Linked DNA regions of Arabidopsis thaliana. The protein of the gene in region 1 interacts with the protein of each later gene in a pairwise test. Each region holds a gene or a part of one and is shown in the gene's direction. Other genes may lie near its edges.

Evidence for each region.
Region 2: the proteins of BRC1 (region 1) and WOX4 interact in binary tests that used the Arabidopsis thaliana proteins (3 or more experiments, as listed by UniProt).
Region 3: the proteins of BRC1 (region 1) and bZIP43 interact in binary tests that used the Arabidopsis thaliana proteins (3 or more experiments, as listed by UniProt).
Region 4: the proteins of BRC1 (region 1) and RVE2 interact in binary tests that used the Arabidopsis thaliana proteins (3 or more experiments, as listed by UniProt).

What each region holds. Positions count from the first base shown.
Region 1 is NC_003074.8:6,381,252-6,386,320, forward strand, and holds BRC1 (TCP family transcription factor), read left to right. Parts: upstream 1-2,037; 5' UTR 2,038-2,175; intron 2,176-2,256; exon of another isoform or gene 2,257-2,285; 5' UTR 2,286-2,517; coding exon 2,518-3,190; intron 3,191-3,294; coding exon 3,295-3,390; intron 3,391-3,483; coding exon 3,484-4,019; 3' UTR 4,020-4,272; coding exon of another isoform or gene 4,273-4,353; 3' UTR 4,354-4,564; downstream 4,565-5,069. UniProt on the Arabidopsis thaliana protein: Transcription factor that prevents axillary bud outgrowth and delays early axillary bud development. Indirectly required for the auxin-induced control of apical dominance.
Region 2 is NC_003070.9:17,236,017-17,239,955, reverse strand, and holds WOX4 (WUSCHEL related homeobox 4), read left to right. Parts: upstream 1-1,770; 5' UTR 1,771-2,002; coding exon 2,003-2,245; intron 2,246-2,464; coding exon 2,465-2,782; coding exon of another isoform or gene 2,783-2,794; exon of another isoform or gene 2,795-2,858; coding exon 2,859-3,053; 3' UTR 3,054-3,432; downstream 3,433-3,939. UniProt on the Arabidopsis thaliana protein: Promotes differentiation and/or maintenance of the vascular procambium, the initial cells of the developing vasculature.
Region 3 is NC_003076.8:15,537,622-15,540,779, reverse strand, and holds bZIP43 (basic leucine-zipper 43), read left to right. Parts: upstream 1-1,890; 5' UTR 1,891-1,977; coding exon 1,978-2,475; 3' UTR 2,476-2,639; downstream 2,640-3,158. Other genes in the region: AT5G38810 (F-box and associated interaction domains-containing protein), read left to right, coding at 1-174. UniProt on the Arabidopsis thaliana protein: Probable transcription factor involved in somatic embryogenesis. Acts as a positive regulator of BHLH109.
Region 4 is NC_003076.8:14,750,790-14,755,037, reverse strand, and holds RVE2 (Homeodomain-like superfamily protein), read left to right. Parts: upstream 1-1,949; 5' UTR 1,950-2,065; coding exon 2,066-2,077; intron 2,078-2,537; coding exon 2,538-2,600; intron 2,601-2,689; coding exon 2,690-2,801; intron 2,802-2,932; coding exon 2,933-2,994; intron 2,995-3,079; coding exon 3,080-3,694; downstream 3,695-4,248. Other genes in the region: AT5G37250 (RING/U-box superfamily protein), read right to left, coding at 4,067-4,248. UniProt on the Arabidopsis thaliana protein: Positive regulator for cold-responsive gene expression and cold tolerance. Part of a regulatory feedback loop that controls a subset of the circadian outputs and modulates the central oscillator. Negatively self-regulates its own expression.

The sequences.
Region 1 (5,069 bases):
GAGAGAGAGTCAAAAGAAAATAAAAGATTGGTCGGTCATGCAATACTGAACAGAGAGGCAAAGCTTTTTTCTTTTCTTCCTAAAATTATTGCAGCCTTCTTTTCTTAGGGCTTCACACAGCCACGTGCATTCCTCCAATTTGAAAATGAAACTTTGTATTTTAACTCTCCTATAGCAAAAAGATTATTTTCTCCATATCATGAAAATCAATGTCTTAGAGCTAGGAAGAAGGATTTTGTGATATGAGACCAAAAATTCCAATCCGAGTTTTGATCTTGTTTTCAAGTTTTGTATCACAAATATGAAAACAAAGAGATGTTTTTTGTTTCTTTACATAAAAAAAAAGAAGAGAAATTCTTTTTTTTTTTTTTGGTAAAAGAAGAGAAGAGAAATTCGTCCAATGCGTTCGTCAGTTTTGCTATTTGAACTCAATTGGATTCCAATAAGTCTACGTAAGAAAAAGGAGCTACCCTTTTTTACTAATAATTTACAGAAGAGGATGTTGCATAACAATCAATTTAGAACAATCATCTATGTCTATACTTAATTTTGAGAAACATCCATGATGGATATAAATTGTTATAACAGTGTTTAAATTTATTTGATATTCTCAATAATATATATATATATATATATATTATAATATAAGAATTCATATTTTATACTTTAAAATACAATTAATAATATTTTACAACAATAAATAAATGTATTTAAACCTAAAAGTTGGCACAAGAAAATGGAATTAAAAAATATTACTGATCTGTATGGTTTTCTTGAGGGATCGCCATGATTGATGATTCAGTTTTTACAACCCATTCAGTTCGATAGATTATCTAATATAAGATTTTTTTGTCAAATATTTTTTTTGATCTAGTATAAGTTTTTTATTTATGAAACAACAAATAAAAGATTTGGACTTAAGAATGGATAGAAGTTTTGGAATAACAATATTTGTGTCCTATGTATAAAAATTATTAGATAGAGATACAAAAATTGTTATCTGAACAAATGCAATATATCAATAGTTAGTGTACATATGAAGTCATAAGAATTACACCAAAATACTCTTTAAAAATATGAAAAAGTTGTTTATAGTGTTTTGAAAAATACCACCAAACAAAACTTTATAATTTTATTTGACCTTAGTTCTTTCTTACGGTGAAATGCAAATCAATATTTTATATATATTTTAATTATATATTCCTTGTTCCTATTTCCTTTAGACATAATCTAAAATCTTCTAACTTTTCTTCTATTAATCCTTTTCCAAATAAAGGCATAACTAATAATAAAATTTATCCTTAATTTTATCTCATATTTATTTCTATTCAACTTTTTATTTTGATCTTCTTAATATGCAAACATACATTTATATGTCTATTTTTGGGTGAAATTAAATCTCATTACCTTTTATTTCTTTCATTTAGTTATACCTTGATCTTTATCTACTAAAAATATTAAAAAATATAATCAATGTGGAAAAATCTATCTAACTAAATTTTAAATGTCATTTCAATAATTTAAATAAAGATCTGTTTATTTAAAGTGAAATGTTAATGTAATTGGTAAATATATGTTCTGTCAAGAAACTGTAATATTAATTATTCTAGCTAAATCCTAAAGTTATAACATATATTCTATAGTAAATACAGTGAAATATTTTATATTGAATTAACTATTTTTAGGCATCTTTTAGTGCATGCTATTAATTTTAAAGATATATACAATCTTTGATTAGTTGAAATATAGCTGTCAACAATTTAATATCTATCAAATAATTATACTGAGTTCTTATCTACATATTAGTAATGAACTATCTCAAAGAAATATAAGAACATAAACAAACACAAGGTCCTAATTATAGAAAAAAATCTTGATAATCAAATAAAACGAACATCTATTATCACATTTTCACAAAAAACAAAAACGAATATATTTTTATCATGCCGAAGCTAGGAATTAAGAAAAATATATAAACAAAATAAATGCTTTTTCAAAGGCTTATATGTTGTTCCTTCCCCCATAATGATCTCTTTGCCTCTCTCTCCATATAGCTCTCCCTCTCTCTCTCTTTTTCTCTCTCTTTCTCTCCATTCTAGTTCATAGCACATAGACTCATTTAAGTACGTCGCCTGTGTTGTCTTTCTCAACCATTAGTCCTTTGCTTCGATAAAGGTATTCTCTCTCTACACATTTAGACACACACATAGATTCTCTAGAACAAAGACATATTGTACTATCTGACTAATCACTATTACTGCTCTTTTTTTTTCTTGATTTTGCAGGCTAAGGAAAAAAAGAAATCTCTCTTTCTAATTTTCTTGTTTTCATTTTGGTTGAGACTTGAGATCAATGTCTTCGTCATTGGAACAGTAACCTTTCTCTTTGATTCAAACTTTCTTTCATTTTCTTCTCTTTTTTCTTGTGTGTCTGAAGAAGATTATAGTACAAGTGTCATTCTCAAAATTTTGTCTTAGGGTTTTTTAATTTTGTTACTTCAAAAACCCCTAAAAAGGCATGAACAACAACATTTTCAGTACTACTACCACCATCAATGACGACTACATGTTATTCCCTTATAATGACCATTATTCCTCACAACCATTGCTCCCTTTTAGCCCTTCTTCTTCCATTAACGACATCTTGATTCACTCCACCTCTAACACATCAAACAATCATCTTGACCATCATCATCAATTCCAACAACCTTCTCCTTTTTCTCACTTCGAATTTGCCCCGGACTGCGCCCTCCTCACCTCTTTCCACCCAGAAAACAATGGCCATGATGATAACCAAACCATCCCAAACGACAATCATCATCCATCACTTCACTTTCCCTTGAACAACACCATTGTAGAACAACCCACTGAGCCCTCGGAAACTATAAACCTTATAGAAGATTCCCAGAGAATCTCAACTTCTCAAGACCCAAAAATGAAAAAAGCCAAGAAACCCAGCAGAACGGACAGGCACAGCAAGATCAAAACGGCCAAAGGGACACGAGATCGTAGGATGAGACTCTCGCTAGATGTCGCCAAAGAGTTGTTTGGCTTACAAGACATGCTTGGATTTGACAAAGCCAGCAAAACCGTTGAATGGTTGCTTACACAAGCAAAACCTGAGATCATAAAGATCGCGACAACCCTTTCTCACCATGGCTGCTTCAGCAGCGGCGATGAGTCTCATATCCGTAAGTATCCATTCTTTTCTAGTTTTAAGTCTATTCAAGTTTTCAACTTCTATGAATTTTTTTATATCATAATCTGAAAATTGTAAATTTCCTAATTAATTAAGGACCGGTGTTAGGATCCATGGACACATCTTCTGATCTATGTGAACTTGCATCCATGTGGACGGTCGACGATAGAGGCAGCAATACTAACACGACCGGTACGACCTTAACCGTTGCCTTTCTGATTTACAATTATATATAGAGTACTTTCTATCAAAATGTTACAAAAGATAAATTATCTTATACATTAGAAACAAGAGGAAACAAGGTCGATGGGAGATCGATGAGAGGGAAGAGAAAGAGGCCAGAACCGCGAACGCCCATTTTAAAGAAGTTGTCCAAGGAGGAGAGAGCGAAAGCTAGAGAAAGAGCAAAGGGTAGAACAATGGAGAAAATGATGATGAAGATGAAAGGAAGATCACAATTAGTGAAAGTTGTGGAAGAAGACGCTCATGATCATGGTGAGATAATAAAGAATAATAATAGAAGCCAAGTGAATCGGAGTTCTTTTGAGATGACACACTGCGAAGACAAGATCGAAGAACTTTGCAAGAACGATCGTTTTGCAGTTTGCAACGAATTTATCATGAATAAGAAAGATCACATTTCAAATGAATCTTATGACTTAGTCAACTACAAACCGAACTCATCATTCCCAGTGATTAACCACCATCGCAGCCAAGGAGCAGCTAATTCCATTGAGGTACCTTATTTATATCTACGAGTCACATTTATAATTTTTATGAGTTTTTTTCCAATGGTTTTATCTAAAGCTATACACAGTTAATTCAAGTTTTAGAGGTAGGGTATATCAAATTCAATGACACTAATGCACCACCATCGATTAATTAATGCTATATATAGTTTAATTAGAAGTTAGTTTTTGTGTTTTGTGGATTGGTACTTGGTTATTACTATCTAGTTCCACATCAGCGATTCAAAGGCGCCGGTTTTTTTTAACTGACTTGGTTATACTATTATGGTTTTTATTGTTCAAATTTTCATCGATTTTTTTTTTTTTGGGGCTATGTACCTTGCAGCAGCATCAGTTTACGGATCTTCATTACTCCTTCGGCGCGAAACCAAGAGACCTCATGCACAACTATCAAAACATGTATTGAAACTGATTTCATTTAACATTAATATCTCAAATTAATGATATATAGTTTGGTGAGAGAGATATGTTAATCCATCTTATGTTTTTTTTTCTTAACATCGTAATTAATCATGTTTATATGAAGGCTTTTTCGTCATTTTAGTGTCAAATATTAAACCTATGTGAAGAAATTAATGCAATTTGTATAATATTTTGTTTTCATAGTTCGAGTGGATTTTTAACTGATATGTATCCTTTAAACGTTGTTTGTTAATATTATCTCTGTGTTGTTAAGTTTGTCTATCGTTTGCTTTTAGGAATACAACAAATGACAAAAACAAAAGGAAACGTGACAAACTGATGACAAAATTATATAAGTTAAGATTCATGATTCAATACATTCTCAATCTATATTCCTTCTGAGACCTGGACGTCAGTTCTAGTAATCAGGCAATTCAAAACCTTTCAAGCCTATTAAGTTAAATGCGATCGACAAACGTATCGGGTATCACTAGGCTTGTGATCTATGTATAAGTGGGTTAACGTACATTGTATACAGACAAGTTCATATATGCGTAATTTGTGTAATATATTACGTGGAAACTTTATCATTTTCAAATATATTTTTTATAACTGATGTGAAGCTATTTGCTTTTTCCCTTAACCAATGATAAGTTCTGCTCTAATAAATCGAAATGTCTTGGGAGTAGTAAGTTACTTCTCTATTGTGATAAGTTTGAG
Region 2 (3,939 bases), on another chromosome or scaffold:
TTTCCAGTATCTGATGAATGATAGAGCAGTCTTTTTAGAACTTTGAGCTTTCATATTCCTTCCGTCCAACAAAGATGAATTTTCTATGGAAAAAAATTGTCCCACAAAGATACAAATTTTGTATTTTTAATATAAATTTTAAAATTGTTTACCTGTTTTATCCTAAGTAAATAAGTAGATAAATATTTTTTATTATTTTTAAAATATATTAAAAGGTTAAAATTGTCAGTATACATTATTTTTTAAAAATGTGAAATTTCTATAAAAAAATCCATCTTCATAGGATAAAGATGTTATTAATTTTAGCTATTAGTCATGATCAACCTACACTGGTACTTCTATATTTCCTCCATGATATCAATTTTTATGTTTTAACCAGTGATATGAACTGTGACTTTCCACCTTCATAACTTTGATATCCATATATATTAGTGTAAGTTTCGTACTGTACATATACTTGCATCATAACTGGATTAGCCGAGACTAAATAATTTTGACTATTCTTCACAGTTCATACTCAAGGTCTCTGTTCTTTGTAATTCTAGACTACATATCAAATAAAAAGATGATGATATATTAGTCAAAACTCAAAAGTAATTAGAAGAAAAAACTTTGTAATTCCGGAATATCATACGTTACTACTTTTCATTAGTAAAATACCCAAATTACTTGGGAAATTGAGGTTCTGCAGTTCCCGATGTACAAGAGAATAACAATACAATACACTGATCTAAAGTGAATGGGACGCTTGACATTGCCAAACCAAACCATGCTTTTGTATCAATATCTAATAAACATATAAGCTTAAATTTATAATGATGTATTATTATCAAAATAAACAATGATAATATAACATTAAGATATTTCTAGCCTTTTCTTTTCCGCATAAAAGTCTGTCCTGGCTCATTATAAACTACCACTAATTTAGGCAAAATCCGTATCTTAACAAAAGTAATAAAAGCAATTTCGAGTATTGGGATTGGAAGATACCTTTTCCCCTTATTCATTCTTCTTCTCATTCTTCTTTTCTCTAAATAAAGTAGTTGAGACTTGAGAGCCACCGAAAAGCATTCGACATCCTATCATTAAAGCTAACTTTTTTCAGTGTTTTATTTCTAAAATAATTTCTTAAAATAAAGAAAGGTGAGAGAGAAATTATGTCCCTATACAACTAGTAGAATGAAAGATTGTCAAGCTTTGGTTTGGGATTTTTCTAATAAATCACATGCATTTGTTAGAATTTGATCCCAAAAAAAAAAAATTCAAACCTTTTTCCTGTAAAAGCAAACCTATTGGCTCGTAGGTCAATGTCAATCTCAATGAATAGTAAAGTCTTTTGATATCACGTATCTATAACATATTATTTTTAGCGTGGTTCATGTCCCTCAACATTCTGCCTAAATTATAGGATCTCAAGACATAGTACTATAGACTACAACTACAAGTAGAGGAAAATTTTATAAGAGAGATAAATTATGCGGTATTCACGCATGACATGCGTAAGCATGAAACTAAAATTTGGTTGATACATTACTATGCCGAATTTAAAGTAGTGCTCCATGCAGACATGAACATATCAGATATCACACGTACGCATGTATTACGTGTATGTAGAGACACACGTACGCATATCTATATTCACACAATGAGATTTCACTTTCTCAAACAAAGATCACTGTCTTCAATTAGTTTCAAATTTGTTCTTTACCTATTGCTTTTACATTTCTGAGTGTATATATTTACAATAAGGACAAGGAGATTTTAAATGATAAAAGTCAACCATATCCCATCATTTGGTCTTTGGTTTCCCGACGTCCCACTTTTGTAAAAATCATCTGTTCATTTTCCATTCTTTTTCTTTTTCCTACCCAACTGGATATCACCAATGATATCATTATACACTAACACTATCATTTCACACTTATCTTCCTCTATATATACATAGCTTAAGTCTTGTAACGAGAAAGGCATGCATAGCATTTGCTAGTTTTAACATATAGCAATGAAGGTTCATGAGTTTTCGAATGGGTTTTCTTCATCGTGGGATCAACATGACTCGACATCATCCCTTAGCCTAAGCTGCAAACGCCTCCGTCCTCTCGCCCCTAAGCTCTCCGGCAGCCCTCCCTCCCCTCCTTCTTCTTCCTCCGGCGTCACTTCAGCCACTTTTGACCTTAAAAACTTCATTAGACCCGATCAAACCGGTCCGACAAAATTTGAACACAAACGAGACCCTCCTCATCAAGTCAGTTCCATTATTGTACTTCGTACATTTTACATCGTTTCTTTCGTTTGAAAAAAGAAGAAGAATTCACTCTAGAAGAATTTTGATAATTGCGGCATACCTAATACTTTGACATTTATAAATTATAACGACTGGAGTGGTTCCTTTTATTATTAATTTTATTTATTTATTTTAATGTATGATTCCTAACAAATGTAATGAAATAATGTGTGGGTTCAGTTGGAGACGCACCCGGGAGGGACAAGGTGGAACCCGACTCAAGAACAGATAGGGATACTTGAGATGTTGTACAAAGGTGGAATGCGTACTCCTAATGCTCAACAGATTGAGCATATCACATTGCAACTCGGTAAGTACGGGAAAATCGAAGGGAAAAATGTGTTCTATTGGTTCCAGAACCACAAAGCCCGCGAGAGACAGAAGCAGAAGAGGAACAACCTCATCAGCCTAAGTTGCCAAAGCAGCTTCACGACCACTGGTGTCTTTAATCCGAGTGTAACTATGAAGACAAGAACATCATCGTCACTAGACATTATGGTAGGAATTTAAGGATTTTGTATAGTTTTGTGGTTTTGATCAACTATATTTAAGGATAATTTTTATGATTGTGTAGAGAGAACCAATGGTGGAGAAGGAGGAGTTAGTGGAAGAGAATGAGTACAAGAGGACATGTAGGAGCTGGGGATTTGAGAACTTGGAGATAGAGAACAGGAGAAACAAAAATAGTAGTACTATGGCAACTACTTTTAATAAAATCATTGACAATGTAACCCTCGAGCTTTTTCCTCTCCATCCTGAAGGGAGATGAAGTCATGAAGGTGAGGCAGAAAATTGTGGAATTCTTATGTAGATCTGGTTTAGGTTCAGAGGAATCAATTGGTATCTAGAAATTCAAAATAAAAATAAAAATAGGAATAAGTCTCTAAAACTACAAAATCTACTTAAGAATTCCCTTATTAATCTGCGAGTTTGATGTATCCTATGTAGATTATTTTTGCGATGTAATCTTAATTATGAATGCTCAGTTTAGCTCATCTTTTTTTCGCGTTTATTCTTGACAAATTCACTAGTGATCAGTTGTACTCTCTTCTGATTTGGCCATCTAAGTATTTCTCTAGATCGTTGGTATGTAGGAATGTTTCATTTAGAGAAATTTCTGAATAAAGACACATTTGATGTTGTTAAAATAATATCTCTGTCTTAATTCCTACGTACGTACAAGAGCAAGAAGTTAAAAGGAAATAATAATAGCATTTCCCGTTGAAAAGGGGGTAGACCTAGTATATTTCTATATAAACAAACATTGAAATCTAAAACTTTTTGTACTGTTATATACTTATATTAAAACTCTTAGTAAAACAGGTGACTCAATAATATTTATATTAATTTTTTATTTTTGATAAATATATACTAAATAAGTTTATGAGATGATAACAAGAAGAATCTTTTCAAGAATTTGATATTTCCAATGGAATGTGTACAAAGACATCAATATATGTAAGCTGTGGTGTGTATGTGGTTAGTTGTTTGTCTGATGCTTTATTGACTCTCGCAAGTGGTTGTTTTGTATTTTGGTTGAAACAAAGAGAGAGTTTTGCTTTTTAGGTTAAAAGTTGAAATGGCATTATATGAGACACACTCACTGAAGTCCATGCACTCGCTTTCCCGCTACATTGCATGCTAGCTAGCTGTTT
Region 3 (3,158 bases), on another chromosome or scaffold:
ACTAAATTGGAGTGTGATGCTGGTGATGGACATCCCCGTGAGTTGTGTGTGTGGGTTCTAGAGGATGTTGAGAAACAGGAATGGTCACAGTATATCTACTCCTTGCCGAAGATTAAGGTCAATCGGATTAGAAACGACAATATTTTCGCAATGTTTTTGCCTTTGACTATATAGAGGATCTTAGTATTGACGATTCGAAGCAACTCAAGTCAAAACCACAACAACGTCGACATGTAAAGAACAAGCAGGCAATCCTCCTGCAGAACAAGTACGATTTACTAGGTAACTCAGAGTGAGGATCTTATCTTGAAAGCCAAGCCAACGAGTCAAGCTATTTTGGTTAAGAGTGTTACTTGTCATTTACAGGTTACTTACGTGTGAGCTTTATCACCCTGTTGGCGTAGAGTGAGAGCAAACTAATATTTTTTTGTATGGTTATCAAAAGGCCTATGAGGTTTTACCTAGGTGAAGAGGGCTCTCTATATCCAATAACTTGATTGTTAAGAAACCGATGTGGTCAATGATTGAATAGTTGAATTGTCAGAATTGATGTTAAAACAAGAAAGTCATGTGATATGAATACCACTGTAGATTGATTAGAGATTTGTAGTTCATTTTCTGTTGAGATCTTATGAACAAAGATTTATGCTTTATTAAAACTAAACGAACACATCAAATATGCAAAAGAATTGGACACTTAGCTTCTTAAATTTGTTTTCTCTCAACCTTTTCAAGGTCTCATTCATAGGTCTGTTTATGCTTCTTCTGTTCTTCTTGATGAGATGCTTTCCTCTAGTACTAATTAAGTCCATCACGTAATATTTTTTTTTTTTTCTAACAACACTAAAAAAAAATTAAAGATAATATAAATTTGGATGGTTATAAAAGCCCATATGTTTCTTGGGTTTCAAAAGGTTAAATTTCAAAATCACCACCCTTCCCCTAACAGAATCTAATTACATAGGTCGAACTTTTAGCAAAATACGACGAAAATGAAGAATTACGCATGATTGCTATATGTGTCAATCCGACACTTCTATAAAATATTATATGCTTTAATTACTTTTTTCTAAATGTGTAATTTTACATGTATATATATTAAACCAAGCTTAATATAATAAAATATTTAAAAGATTTTAGATAGAAGTCATTTTCAAAAAGTGGTGGTACGGTATTAGAAAATGGACATTTTGAAATTTCTCCAAACGTTTACTATTTAAGATGAATAAATTATTAAAAAATGATTTAATTCATTCAACTCAAAATTGAAAAAAATTGACCAAATTATAAAAGTAGTTTGTTCAATTTATTTATCTACTATTTTGCAGAAAAATAAGTTGAAAGTTATTTTAAATTTCCAAAAAAAAAAACACAAATTTGTTTCCTAGCCATTGAGAGAAAGAAAAATCTCAATTATTCCCAGTCATTCATTTACACACAACCATTTTCCACCCCAAAAATTCAACCAAGTTCTCATAAATTTTAGATAGGTTTTAAAAAATAAGTTGAAAGATATTTGAAATTTCCACACAACAAAAAAAAAACAATTTGTTTCCTAGCCATTGAAAGAAAAGAAAAACTCAATTAATCCCAATCATTCATTTACAAAGCCATTTTTCACCCTAAGACTTCAACCAACTTCTAATAAATCTTAGACAGGCTTTAAAAAATAAGTTATTTAGATTTCGTTCTAAGTAGTTCAATAATTTTATAGGTGAAAAAATAGATCGTGTTTTTAAATAATAAATAAAGTTATATAAATACACGTTTTAGCTGCATGATTGTTAGATGCTTTTATATTGGTTTGACCCAAATGAAGAAACCATGGTCCACAATTGTCCCCCTACTAGTCTATATGAACACCTCTTCTCACCACACACACCAAACATTCATCACAATTCCCTAAATCCTACAATCTTTCTTTTCTTCCATCACCTAAGAGTAAACCCTACCTTGCGTCCCAAGTCTCCACCGATAATGCAACCATCCACCAACATTTTTAGCCTCCATGGTTGTCCACCTTCGTACCTTTCCCATATTCCTACATCCTCACCATTTTGCGGACAAAACCCTAATCCATTCTTCAGCTTCGAAACTGGCGTGAACACTTCACAGTTCATGAGTTTGATCAGCAGCAACAACTCGACCTCAGATGAAGCAGAAGAGAATCATAAGGAGATAATAAATGAGAGGAAGCAAAAGAGGAAGATATCTAACAGAGAATCGGCAAGAAGATCGCGTATGAGGAAGCAGAGACAAGTGGATGAGCTTTGGTCACAGGTGATGTGGCTTAGGGATGAGAATCATCAGCTGCTTCGTAAGCTTAACTGCGTTTTAGAGTCTCAAGAGAAGGTTATTGAAGAGAATGTTCAGCTCAAAGAGGAAACCACTGAGCTTAAGCAAATGATTAGTGATATGCAGCTTCAGAATCAGAGTCCTTTCTCTTGCATCAGAGACGACGACGACGTTGTATAGATGATTTTTATTTTTATTTTTTTGGGGCTCTAGTATGTATCAACAAATGTATATCCAGAGATCTGTCTCAGCTTAAGATTTAATTAAGACTCTAAATTAGTAATTGTTAAAGCAGAGTTCTTCAAACTTGTGTTGCCCGTGAATAGAAGTAAGAAATTGTTTCACAATTGTTTGCATAACAAACGATAAAAATTCACATTGCTGAAGTATAATTTTAAAAAAAATTACATGCATAAATATTTTTGCAAAATGTAAATACAAGCATCAATTACTAACAGTAGACTTTCTTCTTTTTCTCTTTAAAATTTTACGTTTATAATGACCAATTTTGTTCTTTCTAAATTGGCTTAAGTAGTGTCTTTGAAAAAAATATACACCAGCCGTAAACGGTTTATTTTCTTCCATTTCCATTTGCATTTTTATGTTGAAAAATTATTAAGAAAAGAATTAAGATTGTGATTAAAATAATAAGAATATGAAAAGCAAATACGTAAATCTAACGCAAACAAAAACAATTAAGACCTTACATGGTTGTGTACTTGTGTGTGAAACTCTCGTAAATCTAATTATGTCAAGCAAAGAAGAGCTTTTATCTGTAGTATTTTAGTACCTTGTATTTTATTTTATTTTAGTACCTTGTATTGGTAGTGCATGGACTGAGGTTTTGCAAGATTTGGCTTAGA
Region 4 (4,248 bases), on another chromosome or scaffold:
CTGAAACCCAAATTATCAAGTATTTTACGATTTTTTGAAATAAACGAAATCTGTTTATTTCCTTATTCAAATTTTATAAAATTTTGTAAGAGTGATTTGATTGAAAATGGACAACATTTGGAGACATTTTCAAAAAAAAATGTTATAAAAGGTTATTTTAAAATGCTTTCAAAAATATCAATATAATAAAGAGCGTGATTATATTTTAATTCAGAATTATTTAAGTGATCGAAAATATCATAAATTTTGTATAATTAGAGCATTTGTTCTGATATGCGACATATTTTACTATAATTTTATAGGAACCATATAAATTTAATTTTTTAACTAATTCCAGTTGCACATTTGTTTAGATGAAAATGATTTGATTGCTGCATGATATAATTTATTTACATTTAAGCATATATTTTATTCTATTTTGATGAATTGTGTGGTATTTTCGTACTTAAATTTTGATATATTGTATGTAATTGTACAACATACTCAATCATATGTTATTACTTCTAATAATTTGAATATGGACATACTCAGAAAGGTATCAAGGGCTCTTTCTCTAGCTATTGTTTCTCATATAATCTTTTCAAAATCATATATCATCACCAACTATACTCATCATTCTCGGGTACTATGAGCTCTAACTAGTGGAATGGTACTAGAACTTTGACACACCGTCTAGTTGAGATTATAGAAATTAAAGATTATGTTATATATAGTAGAAACAAAGTAGGCCAAATTCTTATAGAAAAGAATAAACAAAATTAATATAAAAGATAAATGAAAAAACGGTCTTGAATTATAAACAATTTGCTAGGTGTGATTCAACATTGTCTTTATTCAATACTTGTTGGGTCATAAACATTCAAATTGCATATTATTGTTACTCTAGTATTCAAATTGCATATTATGTTTTATCTAAACTAACTTATATATTTATTTTGATAAACATGTCATATGATATTAAACTTATTTTCAATTGATCATCTTCTAAGTTGATGCATTTTAGTATTTTATATTCAAATTTTGAGATCTTAGTATGTAATATATTTTCAGGTTTTTACTATTCATCAGTTTGATGATGCAAATATACATAGTACGAATAAAATGAGTGAAATTGTTTAATTATATGATCAGGAAGAAAAAATAATATTCCAAAATCCAAATTTTAGTGGGTAATTCTTAGCACAAAAACAAATTTTGTTTCCAAATATATCACATATTTTTCAATGTTCCACAAATAGCATTAATTGTTGAAATTTGTTATGAATAAGAATATGTTCTATAACATTATATGAATTAGAATTATCAATAGATAAAGTGTGTCAACTCAAATCGCTAAATTGTTGAAAACAATTTAATAATATATTCATTTAATATATTCTCATGTCAATATGATATGATTAGATCTATTTAGTGAGATCTTATTTAATTGTTAATTCTAATAAAACAAAAATAGTGATTATATTACTAATAAATAATATAATTGTTTAATCTTATTTTATGGAACTGTATTTCTCAACTTCAATTAAATACTGTACCTAAACCTAAAATTAAATATGCAATCAACTTGATTAATAAAAAACAACAAAATGGGGTAAGAAGTAAACAACGTTGTTAAACAAGACACGCGCTCACCAGTCGCGAGTTTGGCAATAATCATGAAATGAGCTTCTTTAAAAAAACTTTCTAGTAGATAAATTAAACAATTAAAAATCTCCGACAAGATTTAACAAAGAACAGATAATATCTTCTCCGCAAAGACAAAAGTGAAAGCGAAGAAGAAATCCTCCACGTGTCATTAGCATCTTTTAACCTGAGCCACATGATACTAGTTTCTCGAAACCCCTCTTTACGCTTTTTCACCCAAATTTTTATAAAAAGAAAAACATTATGCTTACGTGGCTTATCTTCTTCTTGCTCTTTTAAAGTAACCCCTTGACTCTGCTCCTTTCATAAACAACAACTCTCTCACCAATCTCAAAACAATTCTCTCTCTCTTTATTCTTCTTCTTCAGCTTCAGATTTCAGATCTTAAATCTTCAAGTCTTCTTCTTCTTCTTCTGCAACCATGGCTATGCAGGTTTGAGATCTATCTTCTTTGTTATTCTTTATGCAATCTTGATCTTGGTTTTGTTACTGTTGTTATGTTTCAAGTCTTGTGGAATCCAGACAGATTTAACCTAAACTTAGGTTTATGTCCGAGAGAAAATAGGTTATTTTGTTATCTAATTTCAAGTTTAATCTCTTTGTCTGAGAGAACTTGGAACTGAAGATTATTCGATTGTGGCAGGTTAAAAATTGTGTTAATAGACCAGGCGATTATGTGGGATATTATGGTCGGTTGTTTTAAAGAGAGATTACTTCTTTCTTAATGTATTGATCCGTATTAGGTAAGAACATGTCTCTAATCCCCTAATTATTACTGGTGGTCTACCTCTTCTAGTTGCGTATTAATTAGTTTTATTAGACTCTTTGTAACATTTAATTACTCTTACAATATATTAAGAGACTAATTGTGTTTTCTTACTTTGTGATTATAGGAACGTTGTGAGAGTTTATGTTCTGATGAACTTATATCTTCCTCAGATGCCTTTTACCTCAAGGTACTAATTTTGTTTCTTAATCTCTTGTTTACTCTTGATTGGTTTTGAACTTAAATATGAGGTTAATTTAGGGTTTGTTTTGTTTATAGACAAGAAAGCCTTATACCATCACTAAACAAAGAGAGAAATGGACAGAAGCAGAGCATGAGAAGTTTGTAGAAGCATTGAAACTCTATGGCAGAGCTTGGAGACGAATCGAAGGTGTGTGTGCTTATCTGACTTTAGAGAGTCTAATGCACATTCTAATCTAAGTTTGATGAAGATATAAGAAAACTACTTGGACCCTAGTAATGAGTAGAGATCTGACTTTTGTTGGTTCTTCTATGGAACAGAACATGTTGGAACAAAAACTGCAGTTCAGATTCGAAGCCATGCGCAGAAGTTCTTTACTAAGGTTTGCCTTCTTGCAGACCCTTATACATGAAAAAGTTTCAACCTCTTCGTGTTAAGCAAGGTCTAATTCAAGTTTTTCTTATTAGGTTGCTCGCGATTTTGGTGTTAGCTCTGAGTCCATTGAGATCCCGCCTCCAAGGCCAAAGAGAAAGCCGATGCATCCTTACCCTAGAAAGCTTGTGATTCCTGATGCAAAAGAGATGGTATACGCTGAACTAACCGGATCCAAGCTGATTCAGGATGAAGATAACCGATCTCCAACATCGGTTTTATCAGCTCATGGCTCAGATGGATTAGGTTCCATTGGTTCAAATTCACCTAACTCTTCTTCAGCTGAGTTATCATCTCACACAGAGGAATCATTGTCTCTAGAAGCAGAGACCAAACAGAGCCTTAAGCTCTTTGGAAAAACTTTTGTAGTTGGTGATTACAACTCTTCAATGAGTTGTGATGATTCTGAAGATGGCAAGAAGAAGCTATACTCAGAAACACAGTCTCTTCAATGTTCTTCTTCTACTTCAGAAAACGCTGAAACAGAAGTGGTAGTGTCGGAGTTCAAAAGAAGTGAGAGATCAGCTTTCTCTCAGTTAAAATCGTCGGTGACTGAGATGAACAACATGAGAGGGTTCATGCCTTACAAAAAGAGAGTAAAGGTGGAAGAAAACATTGACAATGTAAAATTATCATATCCTTTGTGGTGAAGTGTTCGTTTGTGTCAAGTCAGTTGTGTAAACTCTTTTGATCTCAACATCAGATTATGTGTATAATGTCAGAGTATTAGGGAAAGTTTTTTTGGATTAGATTCGTAAGATCACTCCAAAGTTTCGTGTCTTTCCATATAACCAGTTAGAAATTGAGATCCTTGTACTTAAACATTTTTATTTGATCAATCAAATCTTCTTGATAACTCTAAATTGTTGTACATAATAGTAGTCTCTATCAAGCATTTCATTCGAAAGGATTAACAAAAAAGATTAGGTTTACAAAAAATACATCAAAAGCAAATGTTTGAAACATAGAAACAAGTAATGCATCATAAACCCTAAGACTAGCTTCAAGTCTCTGTGACGGTTTCACTCTGTTTCAAGATCTTCCTCGTACGGTACTCGTCGACACAAAGGACACGACCTCTGACGCTTAAGCCACTCAAAGATACAATTTTGATGGAACAAATGGAAACAGTCAGGTAACAGAATGATGTTATCATCATGACTCTCCGAAAAGTCCTCCAAACAAATCGAACAAGTGGTTTCTT